5 linked regions of the Rattus norvegicus genome follow. The protein of the gene in region 1 purifies or fractionates together with the protein of each later gene. This does not show direct contact. Links are inferred from orthologs where the notes say so. Each region holds a gene or a part of one and is shown in the gene's direction. Other genes may lie near its edges. The genes, in order: Ehmt2, Zfp644, Ctbp1, Dnmt1 and Mier1.

Evidence for each region.
Region 2: the proteins of Ehmt2 (region 1) and Zfp644 purify together in Homo sapiens (affinity purification with mass spectrometry; 3 studies listed by BioGRID and IntAct, with this or other methods). This does not show direct contact. The link is inferred for Rattus norvegicus from reciprocal best matches to the Homo sapiens genes EHMT2 and ZNF644.
Region 3: the proteins of Ehmt2 (region 1) and Ctbp1 purify together in Homo sapiens (affinity purification with mass spectrometry; 4 studies listed by BioGRID and IntAct, counting the BioPlex papers as one, with this or other methods). This does not show direct contact. The link is inferred for Rattus norvegicus from reciprocal best matches to the Homo sapiens genes EHMT2 and CTBP1.
Region 4: the proteins of Ehmt2 (region 1) and Dnmt1 purify together in Homo sapiens (affinity purification with western blotting; 3 studies listed by BioGRID, with this or other methods). This does not show direct contact. The link is inferred for Rattus norvegicus from reciprocal best matches to the Homo sapiens genes EHMT2 and DNMT1.
Region 5: the proteins of Ehmt2 (region 1) and Mier1 purify together in Homo sapiens (co-immunoprecipitation; 3 studies listed by BioGRID and IntAct, with this or other methods). This does not show direct contact. The link is inferred for Rattus norvegicus from reciprocal best matches to the Homo sapiens genes EHMT2 and MIER1.

What each region holds. Positions count from the first base shown.
Region 1 is NC_086038.1:3,927,234-3,930,722, reverse strand, and holds part of Ehmt2 (histone-lysine N-methyltransferase EHMT2), read left to right. Parts: intron 1-170; coding exon 171-275; intron 276-371; coding exon 372-526; intron 527-622; coding exon 623-790; intron 791-3,172; coding exon 3,173-3,317; intron 3,318-3,489. UniProt on the Homo sapiens protein: Histone methyltransferase that specifically mono- and dimethylates 'Lys-9' of histone H3 (H3K9me1 and H3K9me2, respectively) in euchromatin.
Region 2 is NC_086032.1:3,248,682-3,252,996, forward strand, and holds the start of Zfp644 (zinc finger protein 644), read left to right. Parts: upstream 1-1,502; 5' UTR 1,503-1,697; coding exon of another isoform or gene 1,698-1,795; exon of another isoform or gene 1,796-2,889; intron 2,890-4,315.
Region 3 is NC_086032.1:81,693,592-81,697,106, forward strand, and holds part of Ctbp1 (C-terminal-binding protein 1), read left to right. Parts: intron 1-1,459; coding exon 1,460-1,666; intron 1,667-3,515. UniProt on the Homo sapiens protein: Corepressor targeting diverse transcription regulators such as GLIS2 or BCL6. Has dehydrogenase activity. Involved in controlling the equilibrium between tubular and stacked structures in the Golgi complex.
Region 4 is NC_086026.1:27,728,341-27,731,855, reverse strand, and holds part of Dnmt1 (DNA (cytosine-5)-methyltransferase 1), read left to right. Parts: coding exon 1-95; intron 96-194; coding exon 195-375; intron 376-2,153; coding exon 2,154-2,251; intron 2,252-2,389; coding exon 2,390-2,537; intron 2,538-3,108; coding exon 3,109-3,224; intron 3,225-3,336; coding exon 3,337-3,515. UniProt on the Homo sapiens protein: Methylates CpG residues. Preferentially methylates hemimethylated DNA. Associates with DNA replication sites in S phase maintaining the methylation pattern in the newly synthesized strand, that is essential for epigenetic inheritance.
Region 5 is NC_086023.1:123,153,613-123,157,127, forward strand, and holds the end of Mier1 (mesoderm induction early response protein 1), read left to right. Parts: coding exon 1-121; 3' UTR 122-3,041; downstream 3,042-3,515. UniProt on the Homo sapiens protein: Transcriptional repressor regulating the expression of a number of genes including SP1 target genes. Probably functions through recruitment of HDAC1 a histone deacetylase involved in chromatin silencing.

The sequences.
Region 1 (3,489 bases):
TTAACCTCTGAGCTCATCCAGCGAGGACCCCGCTGAGCCTGGGTGGGGAGGGTGTGCATCTGTGGAATGCCCCATGCTCTGGCTTTGGCTGTTCCCAGAGGTGCCCCTCAGCTTCCGTTTTCTGGCCAGCAAGTCTGGGCCCTGATTCCATTCCTCCTTCCGTCCCTCAGGACAGTGGGGGCTGGACACCCATCATCTGGGCAGCCGAGCACAAGCACATCGACGTGATCCGTATGCTGCTGACCCGGGGCGCCGACGTCACCCTTACCGACAACGTGAGGGGCACTCAAGGGAGCTGGGGGGACTGGTGGGGAGCAGGGGGACCCCGATCCTGTCACCTGCAACCCGATCTCTGCCCCTCACCTCCACAGGAGGAAAACATCTGCCTGCACTGGGCTTCCTTCACGGGTAGTGCCGCTATTGCCGAGGTCCTCCTGAATGCCCAGTGCGACCTCCATGCTGTCAACTACCACGGGGACACGCCCCTGCACATAGCCGCCAGGGAGAGCTACCATGACTGCGTTCTGTAAGCCCCAGCTTCCGGACCCACCTCCCCACACCCCACTCCCGGCACCCACACCCCACTGTCCAGTCTCTGACTCAGGTTTTCTATCCCTCTCAGGTTGTTCCTGTCCCGTGGAGCCAACCCTGAGCTTCGGAACAAAGAAGGGGACACGGCGTGGGATCTGACCCCAGAGCGCTCCGATGTGTGGTTTGCACTGCAGCTCAATCGCAAGCTTAGGCTCGGGGTAGGGAACCGGGCTGTCCGCACCGAGAAGATCATCTGCCGGTGAGTGCAGCCCAGATGCCACAGCTCCTCCACGTCTTCAGTCTCAGGCCCCTTGCCAGACGCAGGACGTCCCAGTAGCTCCTACAATCATCTTGCCTCTAAGGGAGGTGGAAATAAGGGGCCCTCAGTGGGCAAGGGAACCTGCAACCAAGCCTGACAAACTGAGTGCAGTCCCTGGAGAGCCATGTTTTTCTCTGGCTTACGAACACACAGCATGGCACAGTCGCACACCTGAAAAAAGCTAAAGGCAGGGTGTGGTGGCCACCCCTGTAATCTCAGCACGCAGGAGGCAGACGGTTGGTTGTTTTGAACCTGAGGCCAGCTTGGTTTGTATGTATTAGTGAGTTCCAGGCCAAGGAGGGCCACATGGTGAGACCTTATCTTTCTTAAAATAAATGAAAAATAAATAAATATGTAAGAAAAATAAAGAAAAGGACATGTTTTCCAAGCCTTAGAGGTAGCTGAGGCAGGAGGATTGTGAGTTTGAGGCAGATACCCAAATAAGAGTTTCAGACAGGCTGGAGAGATGGCTCAGAGGCTAAGAACACTGACTGCTCTTCCAGAGGTCCTGAGTTCAATTCCCAGCAACCACATGGTGACTCACAGCCATCTGAAAGGGGATCTTCCGCCCTCTTCTGGCCTGCAGGTGTACATGCAGATAGAGCGCTCATAAACATAAGATAAATAAAGCTTTTTAAAAAAAAAAAAAAAAAGAATTTCAGACAGGAGCTGGGTGTCACCTGTGACCCCCTCCTATTCTGAAGGCTGGAGGAAGACCTGCCTCTTGAGCCCACGGGTTGGAGATCAGTATTTGTTATTATTGAGACTCAGACCTTAAAAAGGAAAATCAAACCAAACCAAAAAACCCCGCAAGGCTAGTGTGAGGCAACCCAACTACTGAATGTGCATTCTGAGTTCAAGCCAAGAACCCACCAGGAGAGAGCTGCCTCCTGAAGGTTGCCCTCTGACCTTAATTCCACACTGTATCCTGTGTGAGCGCGAAAGGTCCTCAAGCCAGGCGTGGTGGTTTAGACCTTTAATCCACTACTCTGGAGGGAGGCGAAGGCAGATCTCTGGGCTCTAGGGCTACACAGTGAGATGCTGTCTCAAGAAGGGAGCGGTTGGAGGCCACCAGGAATGTTCACTGTCTTTGAGGAGAGGTTTTTTTTTTTTTTTTTTTTTTTAAGACAGGGTTTCTCTGTGTAGCCCCGGCTGTCCTGGAAGTCACTCTGTAGACCAGGCTGGCCTTGAACTCACAGAGATCCCTGTGCCTCTGCCTCCCTAGTGCTGGGATTAAAAGGAGTGCATCACTCTGCCAGAAAGGACTGTGACCTCTAATGTTAGCACTGGGGAGGAGTAGCAGATGGATCTGAGTTCTAGGATAGCCAGAGCTACAGAATGAGAGTGTCTCAAAGAAAGGAAGGAAGAGGCAACACGTTAAAAAGTTAAAAAAGGGGGTCGGGGATTTAGCTCAGTGGTAGAGCACTTGCCTAGCAAGGGCAAGGCCCTGGGTTCGGTCCTCAGCTCCGGGGGGGGGGGGGGGGGGTAAAAAAGGGATCTGGAGAGATGGCTCAGCGGTTAAGAGCACTGGCTGCTCTTCCAGAGGTCCTGAGTTCAATTCCCAGCACCCACAGGGTGGCTCACAGCCATCTGTAACTTCAGATCCATGACCCAGAGGATCCATGCCTCCTTCTGACCTCTGCGGGCAGCAGGCGTGCATGTGGGGTGCATACAGAAGTGCAGGCAAAGTATTCTTAACACGTAAAATGAGAAAATGTTTTTTCAGGTGAGCAGGAATACTAGTGCGTCCTGTGCTAGCTGGGTGCTTGCAGTCTGTGTCAGTGCTACACTAAGGAAGCGGGAAGGCCATGGTCTCACTTTTAAGGCCAGCCAAGCGAGGCATTATACCAAGGCTCAGCCTCCAACTAAAATTTAAAAGTCCAGAGTCCAGCAGGGTGATGACATATACCTCTAATCCTAGCCACTTGGGAGCTAGGGCAGGAGAGTCAAGAGTCCAAGTCATTCTTGGCTATCTCGCTATTTGGGGCCAGCAGGCTATATGATGCTGTATCTCACAGAGGAATATAAGGGGCCGGGGCCGGGGCCGGGGCTGGAGTAGAGTGTTTATTGGCCTCACATGCACAATGTTGTTGGGCCTCACCAAGAAACAAAGATAACCTGTGCGATGTTGAGGACATAATTATTTCTAAGCTGAGATTGTTTCCCTGGTGTCTTAACTTCCCTTTTTTTGTTTTCAAGAATGTCTCACCGCATGCACTGGGATTAAAGGTGCCACCACCCCAGCACCCTTATACGGAGGAATCCTTGAGCTTCCCCTCAGGAATGCTCCGGCCCCTACCTAACTTTACTGCCCTTCTGTAGGGATGTAGCCCGAGGCTATGAGAATGTGCCCATTCCCTGTGTCAATGGCGTGGATGGGGAGCCATGCCCAGAGGACTATAAGTACATCTCCGAGAACTGTGAAACGTCCACCATGAACATCGACCGAAACATCACTCACCTGCAGGTGAGACACAGGCCCCACCGGGCTCGAGGGAGCAGGGGCTGAAGGAGCCTGATGTGGGAGTCCCTCCACACTGGGGCACATGAAGACTCCCCCTCTCGCTGGGACCGTCACCAGCCAGCGTCCTGAAACGAACCCATGCTCCAGGGGAGAGCCCTCTCACTCACACCACTCC
Region 2 (4,315 bases), on another chromosome or scaffold:
ATTTGGACTCCACTGTACCAGGCATGAAGCACGTGGTGCCCAGCCACACGTTCAAGCAAAACCCATATTCATGAGATAAAAATAAAGTCTCTATGGTACATCCCTCCCAAGCAGTTGGCCGAAAATAGACACGAGTTTATATGTTGTGTATCTATTCGTGTGTATGAAGGCAAGCTTACATTTCGAAACAGCCCAACAGTTGTGCGGTTGTGAGAAAACAGTCTAATCTCTCTTCGCCACTTTAGGTCGTAATGAACTTGCACACACAGGCTACAAGAATGCCTGATGGATGCACAGACAGCAAGCACTCCAGTGTCCGCAGTTATCAGCGAGTGAAATAATTAGAGTGGATAGTAAAATATCCGGTTTTTGGATCTTTTTTTTGCTGCTGCCGAAGGCACCATTTTCCAGGAAAGACACCCTCGTTCTTGTCAAATAAATGCAATTATGGCTTATCCCTCTGGATGTTAATGATATCTTGAAGGGCACGGAGGTACGCAGTTCATGATTGTTGCTTAACTAGTGGGAACTTTTAAAGTTCTTCATGGGAAAAAAGTTCAGTCAAACCAAAGAATTTTGTAAGGCAGGCCCATTAGAGTATTCTAGAACGTTTAGTTCACCTTCAACAGGTTAGGAACTTGTTGACTCGGTTCAAAAGCAAAGCGAATACCTCTAATTAGTGCGCCATTTCCCTCAGAAGCCTATGGCTGAACGCTTGTTAAAAGGGGGATTTAGAAGACCCTCTGGGGAAATCTATTGATTACTTGAAGAGTTAACCAGCATTTCAGACGTCTCTTTGCATGACTCCAATTTGGACCATCAAGGCATGTTCCTCAGTGCAGAAACTGCCCTCGCAGAGCCCTCAGAACCCAAATCTAGGGCTTCTTTCTGGGTGTCTTGACTGAGAGTTTCTACACCTGATGCTGTTTAACCTCAGAAAACCTGTCTGTGCCAGTACGCCAAGGTAGGCCTGGTATATATGTTGCTGATTCTTTCAACAGTAGGAAAAGAAACGGGATTTTGGCAAACTAGCGATTGCAGACACCAGAGATGGGCCTATTCCACCTTAAAGGGCCTAGGCATTCCTGGTACTTGGGTCTTGCAGAGTTTGGTTGCCACCATATTTGGAGCGTGCCTACTTTGGGGCGGGAACCTCCTCGGGAGTGGTTAGGTCACCGCTGGGGGAGGTGACCTTGTTTGGTTTTGGCACGGGAGAGCAGCGGTGCGCTGTTTCTGCCGCGCCCCCCGTGGGTCTGATTGGCACGGGAGCTCCGGCTGCCCCAGCGCACGGGCGCGCCTCGCTGGCCTCCCACGGCGGCCGGCGGCCAGGCAGAGGCGGGAAAGCCGCGCGCCTGCGCCGTGGGAACCGAGGCCGGAGGCGAGAAGCGGGGAGCGGAGGGGGCCGTTGGAGCCGAGTAGCGTACAGAGCGGCGTGTGACGCGGGGACGCCGCGCGCTCCCAACGTCGCCCCGGTTTGACGCACACGGCACCAAACTGTGAGTTTCGGGGGTCTTATTTTGGTTGGATTAGCCCGGGCCCCGGCTGCATTTCGGACGTCCGGGCTGAGGCGGTGGCGGGACTGAGGGTGGCGGAAGAAGTTGTGGGGGAACCCGGCCCGCGGCGCTCGGGCCCGGGGAGCTACGCCCTAGGCTGGCTCCCAACCCTCCGAAAGGACGCGTTTTGCCGCACAGGCTAAGATGGCGGCGGTTGCCGAGGAGGCGGAGTTGCTGCTGCAGAAGAAGCCCGGGTCGCGGGGTCCGGGAGGCGGCGGTCGCGGGGGGCCGCGGAACCTTAGGTGAGCGGCGGCGGCCGCCGCGGGGCGGGACTCGGTGGCGGGCGGGGGGGCCTTTCCGCTCCGGCGGCGGAGGATCCGGTGGCGGACACAAAGGGGCCGAGCCGGGCTCTGGACTTGGGGGGTTTTGTTTAGTCACATGTAGCGGAGCAGCCAGTGAGCGGTAGGGGGAAGGGAGCCGCGATCTGGAGGTCCTGGGGAGCCTTGCGGTCGCCATTGTAACGCTCCGAGTAACGGGGCGGCCCGACAGCAGTCAGCCGGCGCCCGGTGTGCGGCTGCTCCGTCCTGGCCTGCAGCCCCGACTCTGGGGCTAACTGTCCACACCCCTCCCCTGACTTTGGGACCAGAGCACATAGCTTTCCCCTTCTTCCCACTGGTCTGCAACATCTTGTGCCGCTAAGTGCCTGGGAAGTAACTCCAAGAGGTACAAAAAGGAAAAAAAAAAAAAAAGGAAAAAAAAAAAGGAAAAAAATCACGCGAAGTGTTTGGGTGGCCAAGGGGCTTGGTGGGTATCTAGCTAAAGCTTTTTGCCTCTCCAGGTCTGATTCCCTGGCCTTTGTGTCCCTGGGAGCTTAATCTCTGCCAGAGGAAAGCAGGTGTGCTCCATCCACTCCTCCCGAGAACATGAAGATGAGTTGCCCCAGACCCTTCCCCGTGATTGGAAACTTAGGTGGTTTCTTGTTTCGAGACTTCCACAGACGACTCTCGTGTTGGGATCCATCCATGGTTTAGCGACATTAGTGGAAAAGTTTTCTTCAACTGTTTAATACTGACTTAAATGTAGTTATAAAACTTTCATATTAGATTTCAAATATTATGTGATTAAACTCAACGAGGGGATACCCACGGCTTGTGGCCCTGAAATGATGATGGTCCTGTTCTGTGCACAAGTTAATTTCCACAGAAGTACCCCAAACACTATCATCTGTTGGGGCCAGCCCCAACTGATGCCAAGTTTACTGCATCTGGGACATGTGCTTGGATTTGCCTTAATCGTGTTGTAGTTTAGTTAATTTTGGCCCCACGAAGGAAAGTATTTCAGAACTCAAGCAACTATAAAGTTACCCAGATCGAGAAAACGTGCTTCAGGGCCATGTGTAAGTATCCAGGGAACTAGGTGTCAGCAATACAGCTGTGCCTTATCTCGGGTAGGTTTGGTAAGAGAGAAAGGTAGATTCTACAGTGAAGTTATAACTCAGTGTAGACTTTTAGATTGGTGAAACCTGAGTGCTTGACTGGTTCTAACGAAGTGGTTTGCATGTTGCTGTTGAATACTTTAATACTGTATTTGCATCATGTGTTGTATTGGAAGTAACTAATACTGGTGTGAATTCCAAAGGAGTTGGTCCTTGCGTGTGCCATCAATATAAGTACGTGAAGGAATAGTAAAATACCTTTAGGTCTTTGAAATTTTTAACATTAAAACTTTAGCTTACTTGTTTCTTTCCTGGGATGCATTTTCCCTTTCTTAGCTTCCTTTCAAACAGAGAACAGTGTTGTATTAGCAGGCAGGAGCTACGCTCACAGTCAGGTGTGTTCCCTGGATCATACAGTTTTACAGAAGACCGTTGAAAGAGCTACTGTTCCTAGGCCTTGCCTTAGCCACGTATTAAGTTGGTGATGTGGTGGGACACGGTCGCTAGCTCCTGCCCTTGTCATAGTTTTGTTAGCACCTGGTAATGGGACATTACTGATGATCCCCGTTAATTAAAGCGTCTTCAGTGAGACTTTCTGAGACAAAACAGTTAATGTTATGTAATTTTGTAGTAGTGTTGCTTATGTATGGATTTTTGAGAACTTTCCAACCCTGACATGACCCAGAAAAGCAAAAATTAAAAACAAAAACCGTGCTTGACAACTAATGTGGGGAGTTGGAGATAACCGCTGTTACTGCTAGAGAAGGCCAAGGGATGTAATCGGTGTTAGGAGCCATGCTGGTGTCTCTCACTCTGTAATGTCGTTTTGACGCCTCTCAGGCTCTTTAAGTGACTTTTAAGACCAGCTGCTGCTAGTACAAGTCTTAGGAAATGCAACAAGTGGTGAGATCAGGCACAGTGGAGTGCACAGTGCTGCTTGTTGTGAGGCTTGTGTGGGTCATTTAAAGTGCTTTTAATTTACTGTCTCTTTTTCTAAGAGTTCAGTCGAAAGGCTAGTTCAGTTTCAACACTGAGTATATTTAATTACACTTAGTCTTGTGCTAATTAGGGTTACTTTGAGGTTATTTGTAATTATAAAGTCAGTGTCACCTGCATGCCTTAATTGCCTCCCAGGTTTTTCAGTTTGTTCAAGTTCTTGGAGAGTTTGGGTAGCAAGAAGAAAAGCTTGAGAGATACAAAATGGTGGAAGGTCTATCATGTCAAACACGTCGTTATTGTGTAGGATTAGCAGTCTGGACTCTTCTCACAAAGTGACTCTGGGAGGAAAAGGCGTGCTTGCTAAGTGCACCAGCCACACAGGAGAGACGTGGCGTGTTGTTGAGTTGTCCAGTCTGAGTCTGTAGAGTGCTCTGCGTGCCCAGCAGAC
Region 3 (3,515 bases), on another chromosome or scaffold:
GTGTTGTCACCAACTGGCCAGGCCTAGGGTTTAGGCTGAAACAAGGGACCAGTCAGAGAGGTCATTGTCCTCTTCCCAGAACAGGGACTATGTGCCATAGTCATACTTGTACACACATGAAGCCATGTGTGCTCAAATTGTACACATATGCATGACTCTGCATCTGTGTATGCAGTTTTACTGAAGCAGTATGGCCATACTTAGCCATTTTAGCCTGTTTCTGTGCTAGTGGCCAACTGACAAAGCAAGGCTGCAGTCTCCAGTGTCTGCTGTTGACATCATTCTGCCTTCTGTTCCTTAAGGCTGTCTGGGGAACCACGGGCAGCTGAGAACTTGAGTAGTGTGGTGGGAAAGTCCGTCTTGTTCTGTTGGTTCATGCTGGCCTGGCATGCCACAGGGGCCAGAAGCTGGCCGGCCTTTCCTCAGCAAGGCCCCACCATTTCCCTCTATAGAGCTCACAGGCTCGACTCTTGAGCTAGGGATGGCCAAGTGCCGCCACTGTGGCCCAGATACGGGAAGGGCTGTGTCTTGTTTGCCTTATGTCTTCTCAGGGGTCAGTTTTGTTTCTGAGCCTCCAGGCTACCTACTACTGCTCCATGTTCCCTTGCTTATTTCAAGGGAGTTGTTTCTAGAGGATGTGTGGGTCCTGTCTTGGCTCCTCTTGTGTCAGGTACCTCTAATTCTTAAGATAGTTTCTACAAAAACAGTCCTGTCCCAGCACCTCAGTGAGAAGCACAGGCAGAAGTATCCAGCCAAGGTGGGAAGTAGACTTGTGGCCACTGTAGAGGATGGGCTCATGGTGGGATGGTGGGATCCTCCTCTGAGGACAAGGACCATGGGCAGCCCAAGGCAGCACAGACTGTGTCAGCTTACAGTGCCTGAGCTTGGGCTCTTGGGATAATTGGGGCACTGAGGTTAGGAAAGAGAAGCCCCATCTGACTTGTTCCCAGGACAGTGGGCATTGCTGAGCTCTGAAGTCAGGGCATTCCTGGCCTTGGAAGCTCTGGGGATCTGGAAGTTGTGATTCATGTAGTATCAACAGGTGGGGGCCGGCCAGTCCCAAGATGCACCTTGGCACTGGCCCTTTGCCAGTATGGCCATGGCTGCTTAGGAATTTTGAGTGCCCAGTGATCCACGCGGGGAAGAAATGAGTACTGATGGGATTGGTCACCTGCACATCCAGACTATTCAGGCTAGGGATGGTCAGAGAAGCACTTAGCTGTCCCTGCTCTGTCTGTTTGCTTGTTGGTTGTCACATCTTTGTTGTACAAGGCTGTGACTCCAGGTTTAAGTATGCCCAATGATAGAGACAGGTAGTCCTATCTGGTGGCTGTGGGATGTGTCTTCTGATGTGTTTCTGCTGAAGCAGTACCCTGAGGTTGCGCTCTGACTGCAGCACCTCTGATTGTGATGACAGGAGGCTGTGGGCCTGGTACATGTGTCTCCATGTGTATTCTAGGCATCGCAGTGTGCAATGTACCAGCAGCATCTGTGGAAGAAACAGCAGACTCCACCCTGTGCCACATTCTGAACCTATACCGACGAACTACCTGGCTACACCAGGCACTTCGGGAAGGCACTCGGGTCCAGAGTGTAGAGCAGATCCGAGAGGTGGCTTCAGGAGCTGCCAGGATCCGTGGAGAGACCTTGGGCATCATTGGACTAGGTGCGTTGGCCACTGTGACTCAGCACAAATAGCCTTTGTCTGTCTGTCCCCCTTGCACTTCATAAAGTTGAGGCCCCGGACTTTCTGGTTGTGTTGCTATCCTCAGCTCAGGATAGGACATAGGATAGAAAGTCCAGGGGCAGGGCTGAAGACACTAGGCTATGTCTTTCACAGGTGCCATCCATGGAGGTCATTCATGCATGGGCACGTGTGTATATTATATGTGGATGAAACAGATAGGGTATACACATGGACACGCTTAGATATGTATACAGTTACATACACACGCTGTAACTGACATGTTATTACTGAAGCACCACCTTGAGGGTGTGCTCTGGCTATAGCACCTTTGACTGTTGGTGTCATGGGGCTGTGGGCCTGGTACATGTGTACCCCACAGCTCCAAAGACTTGAGTGGTATGACCTCAGGGCCTACTTCTGTCCTACTTAGGTGGTACTCAGTTCCCACTCTCTCACTGCTGTTTGCTTTTTGTTGGTCCCCATTTGTTATGTGTCCCATAGAAATGGCACAATAAGTTGTGCCAGAGTTTCACCATTGAGGGCTCCCTTGTCACCAGACAGCCTACCCTTGGCTGACCCTAGCTGCACTGTACTCCTTCCTCAGCACTGCTGCCGCTTCGGTAGATGGGAAATGTGTGTGGGTCACCTGAGCTACTGAAGAGATAGACTTGGTATGTAGTTGTTGTCCCAGTGGACACTCACGGCAGGGCTGTTTGGTATTCCATGGCACTGAATGTACCCTTCCTGTCCAGTGTATAGGATGAGTTAGTACCGCCTACCTCAGGGTTGTAGCCCTGAGACTCATTGAGGGTGAAGAAAGATAAACATGGGTAGAGTGAGGGTCAGGGGTGTCACTAGGCAGGTTTTGGTGGTCAAGTTCTTGCCCTCCAGTCTGCTTGGTCTTACTCTGTTAGTGGCTCAGCCATGTGTCCTTTTGGTACCCTGCCTTGCAATGATACTTGATACTTTGCCCAGTGTGCCACGTGGCTGCCACTGACTACCTTCTGGCCTACACTGCTGTCTTCTCTGCTGTGTCAAGCTGACCACTGTAGTCAAAGCTCCCCAGGTTTCAGGATCCATAGATGGTGACATGTATTCCATGTGAATGATGTAGATGACACAGACATGGTGATGCATGTGGACATACTTGTGTGTGAGTGTACAGTATATACAAGGGAGGATGGTAAATTGTGCCTCCTCAGAGCACAGCAAGGGCTCAGAAGGGAGTTGCTGTACCCTCTATCTTGGGGACCCCCTAGTCATGTAATTGCTACCAACTACAGAACAATTCTGAGGCTGGCTTCCATATACTGTGGCCTCGCTCTGGAAGGGAGATGACCACTTGCCCCCAGGTATCCCTGCTGCCTCCTGCTCTTCCTTTCTACGACCTGTGGAGGCTGACTTCAGTGTAGACTTTGGTGATTAATTCTTGTTCAGGAGAGAGGACACACAGGCAGTGTGGGGTGTACGTTTTGCTTCTGTAACATGGATGTGCCAGCTATTTCCCATGTCTGTTGGCCTTCACACCCAGTCTTCTGCCTTCCCCTTCCTTGTTCTCTATCAGATATTTGCGAAATCCTCTGTTATAACTGAAAGATACTCTGTTTCTTTCCTGGAGTATACATTGTATTTCTGCCTGAGACAGCCCTGTACCTTTTCCAGCTAATCCTCCCTTGCTGTAGTCTCTGTATGCCATCTGGTACAGCTTGCTAGGTTCATCAGCCCTACTGAAAGGGACAAGTTTCCTGAGTTTGTGTTCTTCCAACAGACATGAGGTTCTAGGTGTTGTCTACATGTCTGTCTTACTCAGAAGCTCTTACTGTTAAAC
Region 4 (3,515 bases), on another chromosome or scaffold:
TACGACGACGCTAAGGACGATGATGAGACGCCCATCTTCTTGTCTCCCTGTATGAGGTCCCTGATCCATTTGGCTGGTGTCTCGCTGGGACAGAGGTAAGGATGTATCAAGACTCGGGTGGGAGGCTTGAGCTTGAGACCAGAGGAGGCAGTCCCCTGCGCCTGGGTCCCTGAAATGGTGGTCCTCTCCCTCAGGCGAGCAACAAGGCGCACGGTCATCAATTCTGCCAAAGTGAAGCGCAAGGGGCCCACAAAAGCCACCACCACCAAGCTGGTCTATCAGATCTTCGACACTTTCTTCTCGGAGCAGATCGAGAAGGATGACAAGGAGGACAAAGAGAACACCATGAAGCGCCGCCGGTGTGGTGTCTGTGAGGTGAGTGGGCCGTCCTTGGCTGCTCTTAGATGTGAAGAAGAGCAGCTCATGCCCTGGGGTAGCTGCCTGCCTTGAGGGCCAGACAGGCAGATGGAGGGAGGGTTGAAGTCGGTGTCTGGGGCTTTTGGTCTGGATGACGCTGTGACTACAGAAGCTGGGTTCCCTGAGAAGAACCGAATGAGCACTTTTCTCTCAGCTTAGACTTGTGGCTACGGAAGCCTCACTGTGACTTCTAAGAGCTGGGTTTCCAGACCTGTGCCACCATGCCTGGCTCTTGTGAATTGTGAATCCTTTTTGTAGACGTAGCCTGGAATCCACCTACATCACACTAAACAAGCAAACCCAAACTTCAGATGTGGTTAAGCTACACCTGGAGGCACAGGCCTGTGATCCTGGCACTTCAGAAGTGGAGACAGGAGGATCGGGATTTCAAGGTCATTCTCAGTGTTCTAGTGAGTTTGAGGTCAGCCTGGGCTGTCATGTTTGAAAAATTAGAGAATGAATTTATCCCGAACCATAGCCTAAGACATGCACATATGTTCTGAGGCACCTATGTGTACAAGGCTGACCTGAAACTGCTGGTGTTACCTACCTTGTGTGCACTGGGCACTCAGGTGTGCACTGCCATGCACCTCTGATGTCAGCATGTTCTGACAGCTGCTTACAGCTCATCTTGTCTCAGACTGTACAGGGACTTGGGTATCCTGGGCCTTCGAATGGGAGAGGAGACGCCTTCCTACATGTGCTGCTCTTAGCATCCAGGGGGCTGCTGGGGTTTTTTCTTCAGAGAAAGTCATCTTTTACAATGTACTGTCCTGACTTTCCCTGGGTACAACGGAGCCTGGATGGATTCCACACCCCACAGTAGCAAGTTCTTTTCTCTCATGATGCCCTGTCCTTGCCATTCCTTGACTTTTCTCAATGTCCTTGTATCTGATTATTTGTTTAAAGCTTTTTTGTTTTGTTTTGTTTTTGTTTTTGTGGTGGCAGTGGTGGTTTAAATGGAGCTGGGTGCTTGGTGGCCCTGTTTGGTTACCTTGTTTACCTTGTTCTCTCGGTCTGTTAGGGGTTGTCCCCACTGACTGGTACTGGTTCAGGCCATATGTGTATGTGAACAGCTGGCTGACTTGATACCTGACACAGATTCAGGCCACATGTGGCTGCCATGCTGTATCACTCAGGGGGGAGGGTAAGAAGCTGTTCAGCGGGGTTGGGGATTTAGCTCAGTGGTAGAGCGCTTGCCTAGCAAGCACAAGGCCCTGGGTTCGGTCCCCAGCTCCGAAAAAAAAAAAAAAAAAAAAAGGAAAAAAAAAGCTGTTCAGCACAAATGCAGTATGTTTCACACTTTTTTATTATATATTATTTATTTATTATAATTTTTTATTAGAGTGTCTCCATGGGGCCACAGTGTGCATATGAAGGTCAGAAGAAACCCCGGAGTTGGTTTCCCACCTTTCTGTGGGTCTTGGGTATTGAACTTGGGTTGTAAGGCTCGGCACCAAGTGCCTTTCCCCACTGGCCCTGAACATGCATATCTTTGAAAGTTATAAGTAAACGTTCCTGGGCCTGGATATAGTAGCACAAACCTTTAATTCAAGCATTCGGCTGCAGAAGCAGGAGTATCTGAGTTCAAGGCCAGCCTGGTCTACGTAGTGAGTTCCAGGACAGCCAGAGCTTTGTGTAAAGAACTCTTCTCAAAAACAAAAACAAATAAAGCCAAACAAAATGAAAGCTGCCAGTTGAGAATCTGCTGATTGGTCGACTCTTGGTATTTTCAGGTCTGTCAACAGCCTGAGTGTGGGAAGTGCAAGGCGTGCAAAGACATGGTTAAGTTTGGTGGCACCGGACGGAGTAAACAGGCTTGCCTCAAGAGGAGGTAGGCTGTGCTATGCTCTGCTCAGATAACAGAGGGGCCAGGGTGGCTAAGGCAAGTGTGCCATGTAGCGTCCTGCAGGGACGTGGTATGGAGCTGACTTGGCTTTTCGCTGGGTTGACTGCAGTGTGTGTTCTGCAGGTGTCCTAACTTGGCCGTAAAGGAGGCAGATGAAGACGAAGAAGCTGATGATGATATACCAGAGTTGCCGTCACCCAAAAAGTTGCACCAAGGGAAGAAGAAGAAACAGAATAAGGATCGCATCTCCTGGCTCGGGGAGCCTGTGAAGGTGTGACTCCTTCCTCTTGTATACCGGTGTGCCCTGCAGCCAGGAGCCTGGCGGCTGCTGTCCCCTTCCCCTCCCTTGTTCCTGACGCTGGGAGGGAAGCACAGGGCCCCAGGCATGCTGGGCTAGAGCTCTGTACCTGAGCTGTACCTCATTCCTCATGGTAAACCCTGAGCTGCGTGTGTTACACCTGGCATCATTATTACATTTACTTGAGGATGCTGCAGCACAAGTGTGTCAGCACAGATTGCATAAGTCACTGTTCTCCATCTTCCATCCCAGATATCAACCTTGGGTCATCTGTCTTGGAGCCAAGCTTTACCCACTGAGCCATCCCATCCTTCATGACTTAATAGATCAAAAGTCATGTTTGTGGGAGTTTTTTTTGTTTTTGTTTTTTTTTAAGGGTTGCTAGGGATGGCACCCAGAGTCTGTATCTGTTAAGTAAGATTTGCACTGCTGACCCACATACTTAGTCCCAAGCGATTTTCATAGGAAGTTAGCTGCCACCCAGGTTAAATCCAGTGAGACCATCGGATGTGGCCGTCACCTGAGCTCCATTGCTTGCTTTCAGATCGAAGAGAACAGAACTTACTATTGGAAGGTGAGCATCGACGAAGAGACTCTGGAGGTGGGCGACTGCGTCTCGGTCATTCCGGATGATCCCTCCAAACCACTGTATCTAGCCAGGTGTGTGCGCCCACCTTCCTCTTGAACACCTCATGTCCAGCTGTGTCGGAATGAGACCCAAGTTGTGCTGGTTACGTGAGATGTCTGTTCCCTGTCTCGTCTTATGCTACAGGGTCACAGCACTGTGGGAAGACAAGAACGGGCAGATGTTCCATGCACACTGGTTCTGCGCGGGGACAGACACGGTCCTCGGAGCCACCTCTGACCCTCTGGAGCTGTTCCTTGTAGGCGAGTGTGAAAACATGCAACTTTCCTACATCCACAGCAAGGTCAAGGTCATCTACAGAGGGC
Region 5 (3,515 bases), on another chromosome or scaffold:
GAGACCTGCCAAAAGGCGGCGGATAAACAGCAGTGGGAAAGAAAGTCCGGGTTCGTCTGAGTTTTTCCAGGAAGCAGTCTCACATGGGAAGTTTGAGGAACATGAAAACACAAATGACTAACTCTTAGGCCTATTTTACTTTCTTTGCAGTAAAGTCTGGTTTGACTACAATTTTCAGGGTTGGGGGGGTGACCTTTAGAAAGCTGATTTCCTTGAAGCAGTTGTTAACTCTTGAAATTGGAATTAGGTCCTAACTTTAAGAAATGGGATTCATAATTCTACTTTTTGCAAGTTCTTTTACTTCAAATTTTGAAGCCCTCTTTAAGGATATAAAAACATTGGTAAATTTGAATGACCCAAAGACTTAACTGCACCTTCTCCTTTGAGAAACAAGTCATATTTGACTAAAAGGTAATCTTTCCTTATTCTTTATGAGGAAGAAAAAAGTTTGTTTCTGTTCAACACCAATTTTTTTTATTATCTAGAAATGTCTTTACAACAGACATTTTTCTCTCCATACAAATTGAACATCGTCATTAAGGAAACCCTCATGAATCCTGAAGGTTATGCTAGCATGATTTTTATATGTAGAAGTTTAAAAATAAACCAAGTCAGGTTTGTATTTGTAAAATTGTTGACATCAATGATGTCTTTCCATATTCTTATCTGGGCTTAAGAAATACATTCTGTATTTTTCCAGATTCTTTGTAGCCTTTGAAAGATTTTTACAGTACATATGTCTTGACTGAGCTGTCCTTTCTTAATACAAAAAAAGCTTGTATAATTTTCTTAACTTGTACAGTTGGTAAACTTTTATGAGAGGAACTGATATTCTGAGTCTGTCAGCTTTCATTTTATTTTGCTAAGATTTTTCTAATGAATTTTTAAGTGTGTGTGTAGTTAACCAAGTCATGTTTCTTATCCAGGTGGTAAAAGCATTCATAAAGAATTATGTTATTTTCAAACTTCTACTTACTGACATAATTTGGGACTTCTAAATTTCAGCATGATACTCAGATTACAAGCTTGTTTGCATTTGCTATAATTTTATAAATTAATTGTGAAACAAAACAAAGACTTACTGTCAGCTTAAGTGTGTAGATGTATCGTGCTGAATAGAATCCTGTTCAGTTACTCTCATGTGCCCTACAAGATTTCTCATTGTTTCAGTCAACAGAAAGGGAAGGTCACGTGATGTTGCAATATTGCCACATCCAAGGAGTAACTGTTGACAGGTAGCAATATTCATTTTTATGAGAAAATAGTGGTTTTAAGAATTTTCAGATCTTTCCAGTTGTAATCCAGTTTGTCACATTTGATACTTTTTCCAAAATGAAACACATACAAAATAACCATTGTTCTGTGTGACTTTAAAAAGGGTTATTGCACTAGCCTTGTAAGAATGGATGCCATTTTATTGTTAGTGCAAAATTCTTCTTACAAAATGTAGTTTTATACAGCTGATAGACCAATCTATCTCTGGACTGTTTTTTAGTGAATGATGATTAACTACCTTTTCTCACACAGGCACATCCCCAAATGCTGCCTTCAGTTTGATCTCAGCCGTCAGTTCAAGAGCCACTGCTTTCAAAGACAGATCTGTGTCCTTTTAGTGGCTCAGTTGTCTGATGCAGGGTGGGTTAAGGTTTGCACTGAGAATGATCGCCCAGGCCTCTCCCTCATAGTATTCTTACATTTGTCCAGACTGCTTCCCTTCACAATGGGTACAAACTTTTCTTTCCCCAAATCAGTATTAGAAGCCACCTTGACAGCACATCATAATAATACGCATTTACTGTTTTCTGCAGAAATAGTCCAGTGAGTTGCCTTCAGGTGGAAGTGCTGAGAAGCACGAGAGGGTTTAGTTTGTTTTATTGAAAACATTAATTTATCCAGAATGGCAGTAGGTCAAGTACCTTTAGCAGATGGTCATAGCTTGTCTCCCTGCCCACCCCCACAGAGTCTCACTGTGTAGCCCAGGCTGGCCTGGAACTTAACAACCCTTCTACCTCAGCCCGCTAATGCTGAGATTGGAGGTGTTTCCCACCACACCCAGCAACAGTCTATTTTCTAAAGCAGGTTTTATTATATGAGTCCAGGCCATCCCAGCTCCTTGTCACAGGTGATCTTTAAGTGATGCTATGCTTTTTAATCATTACACTATGGAAGATGTCAGTCCGCCTTTTAAAGGATGCCTCTGCTCGACACGTTCTTGGACTTCTCGAAACTGTTGTAACAGGAACGTTTTAAGGAAATTCTCAGGCATGTTGGCAAATGTGCCAGGTGTATAAGTGTTCATAAATCTTTTCTTTTTAAAGTATGCATAATGAAACATTCCTCTAATACACAAGGCTCAGCTTTTCCCAACTATATTCTGTGTTTGTATAGGTATTTCACCCTTTGTTCAAAAAATGCAGCCACTGAAACTTAAGTCATTGCACTTTTAAACAGTTTGACAATATCATGAGTAATCTGCTTAAGATTTGGTGTATTTCCTAACTGTTGAACACTTAAGTAACTGAGATGAGAAAATAAGCATTCATGAGTAGGGATGTAGCTCAGTTGCTGGAATGCTTACCCAACATGCATGCAAAATGGGTTCCATCCCCAGTACCACAGGAACTGGGTATAGTGGTGCATGCCTGTCATCCTAAGCACTTGGGAGGTGGAGGCAGGAGAATCAGAAGTTCAAGGCCATCCTCATTACCTGGTGAGTTGAGGCCAGCCTGATATGCTGACTCAGATAGAAATGGCTCTGTTGGTAGTTATTAGGTCCTAGCCAAGCACTGTCATTTTCATCTGGAACATACAATGATGATGTATTTATGATGTATTCTCACTAAGGTTCACAATCTGTAACTCAGTTCAACACAGATCTCTTGAGCTTTAAAAGGTATTTGAAGTAATTTAAGTAGGCATTCAAAATTATGAATTAGATGTTTTTAAATTTCTGCATAATAATTTTGCACTGTAAAATATGTCCTTTCTCCCATTTCCTTCTGCCATTCTGATATGCTCATTAAAATATTTTTGTAAGCATACTCATGTGATGTGTGTGATGTCTAGTTGTTCACTGTGTTTTAGTCTCAGTGCTTAAACTCCATGCTGCTCGGAGCACACAGTGCAGGCTGTACTCTCCCTGTGCCTCCATGCCCGTGGACCGCGCAATGAAGTTTTGTCAGTGGTTCCTGGTTTAGTTACCCAACATTGGATTGTTTTCTGTCTGTCTTTTCTTAAACTTTTTAATAGACAGGGAGGTTTGGGTTGGGGGTTTTTGTTTTGTTCATTTGGACTCTCTGTTAATGTAGCTCTGACTGAACTGGAGCTCACTACATAGACCAGGCTGGCCACAAACTCAAGAGATCTGTCTATGCCTCCCAAATGGTGGGATTAAAGGTGTGCATCTGGTACACCTAGACATGTAGTCCAACTGGCTTTGATCTTCTGTTTTAAGTGATAGAGTTAAAGTGTATACCACCATATCTCTGAACTATATAATTAAAAATTACTAGTTT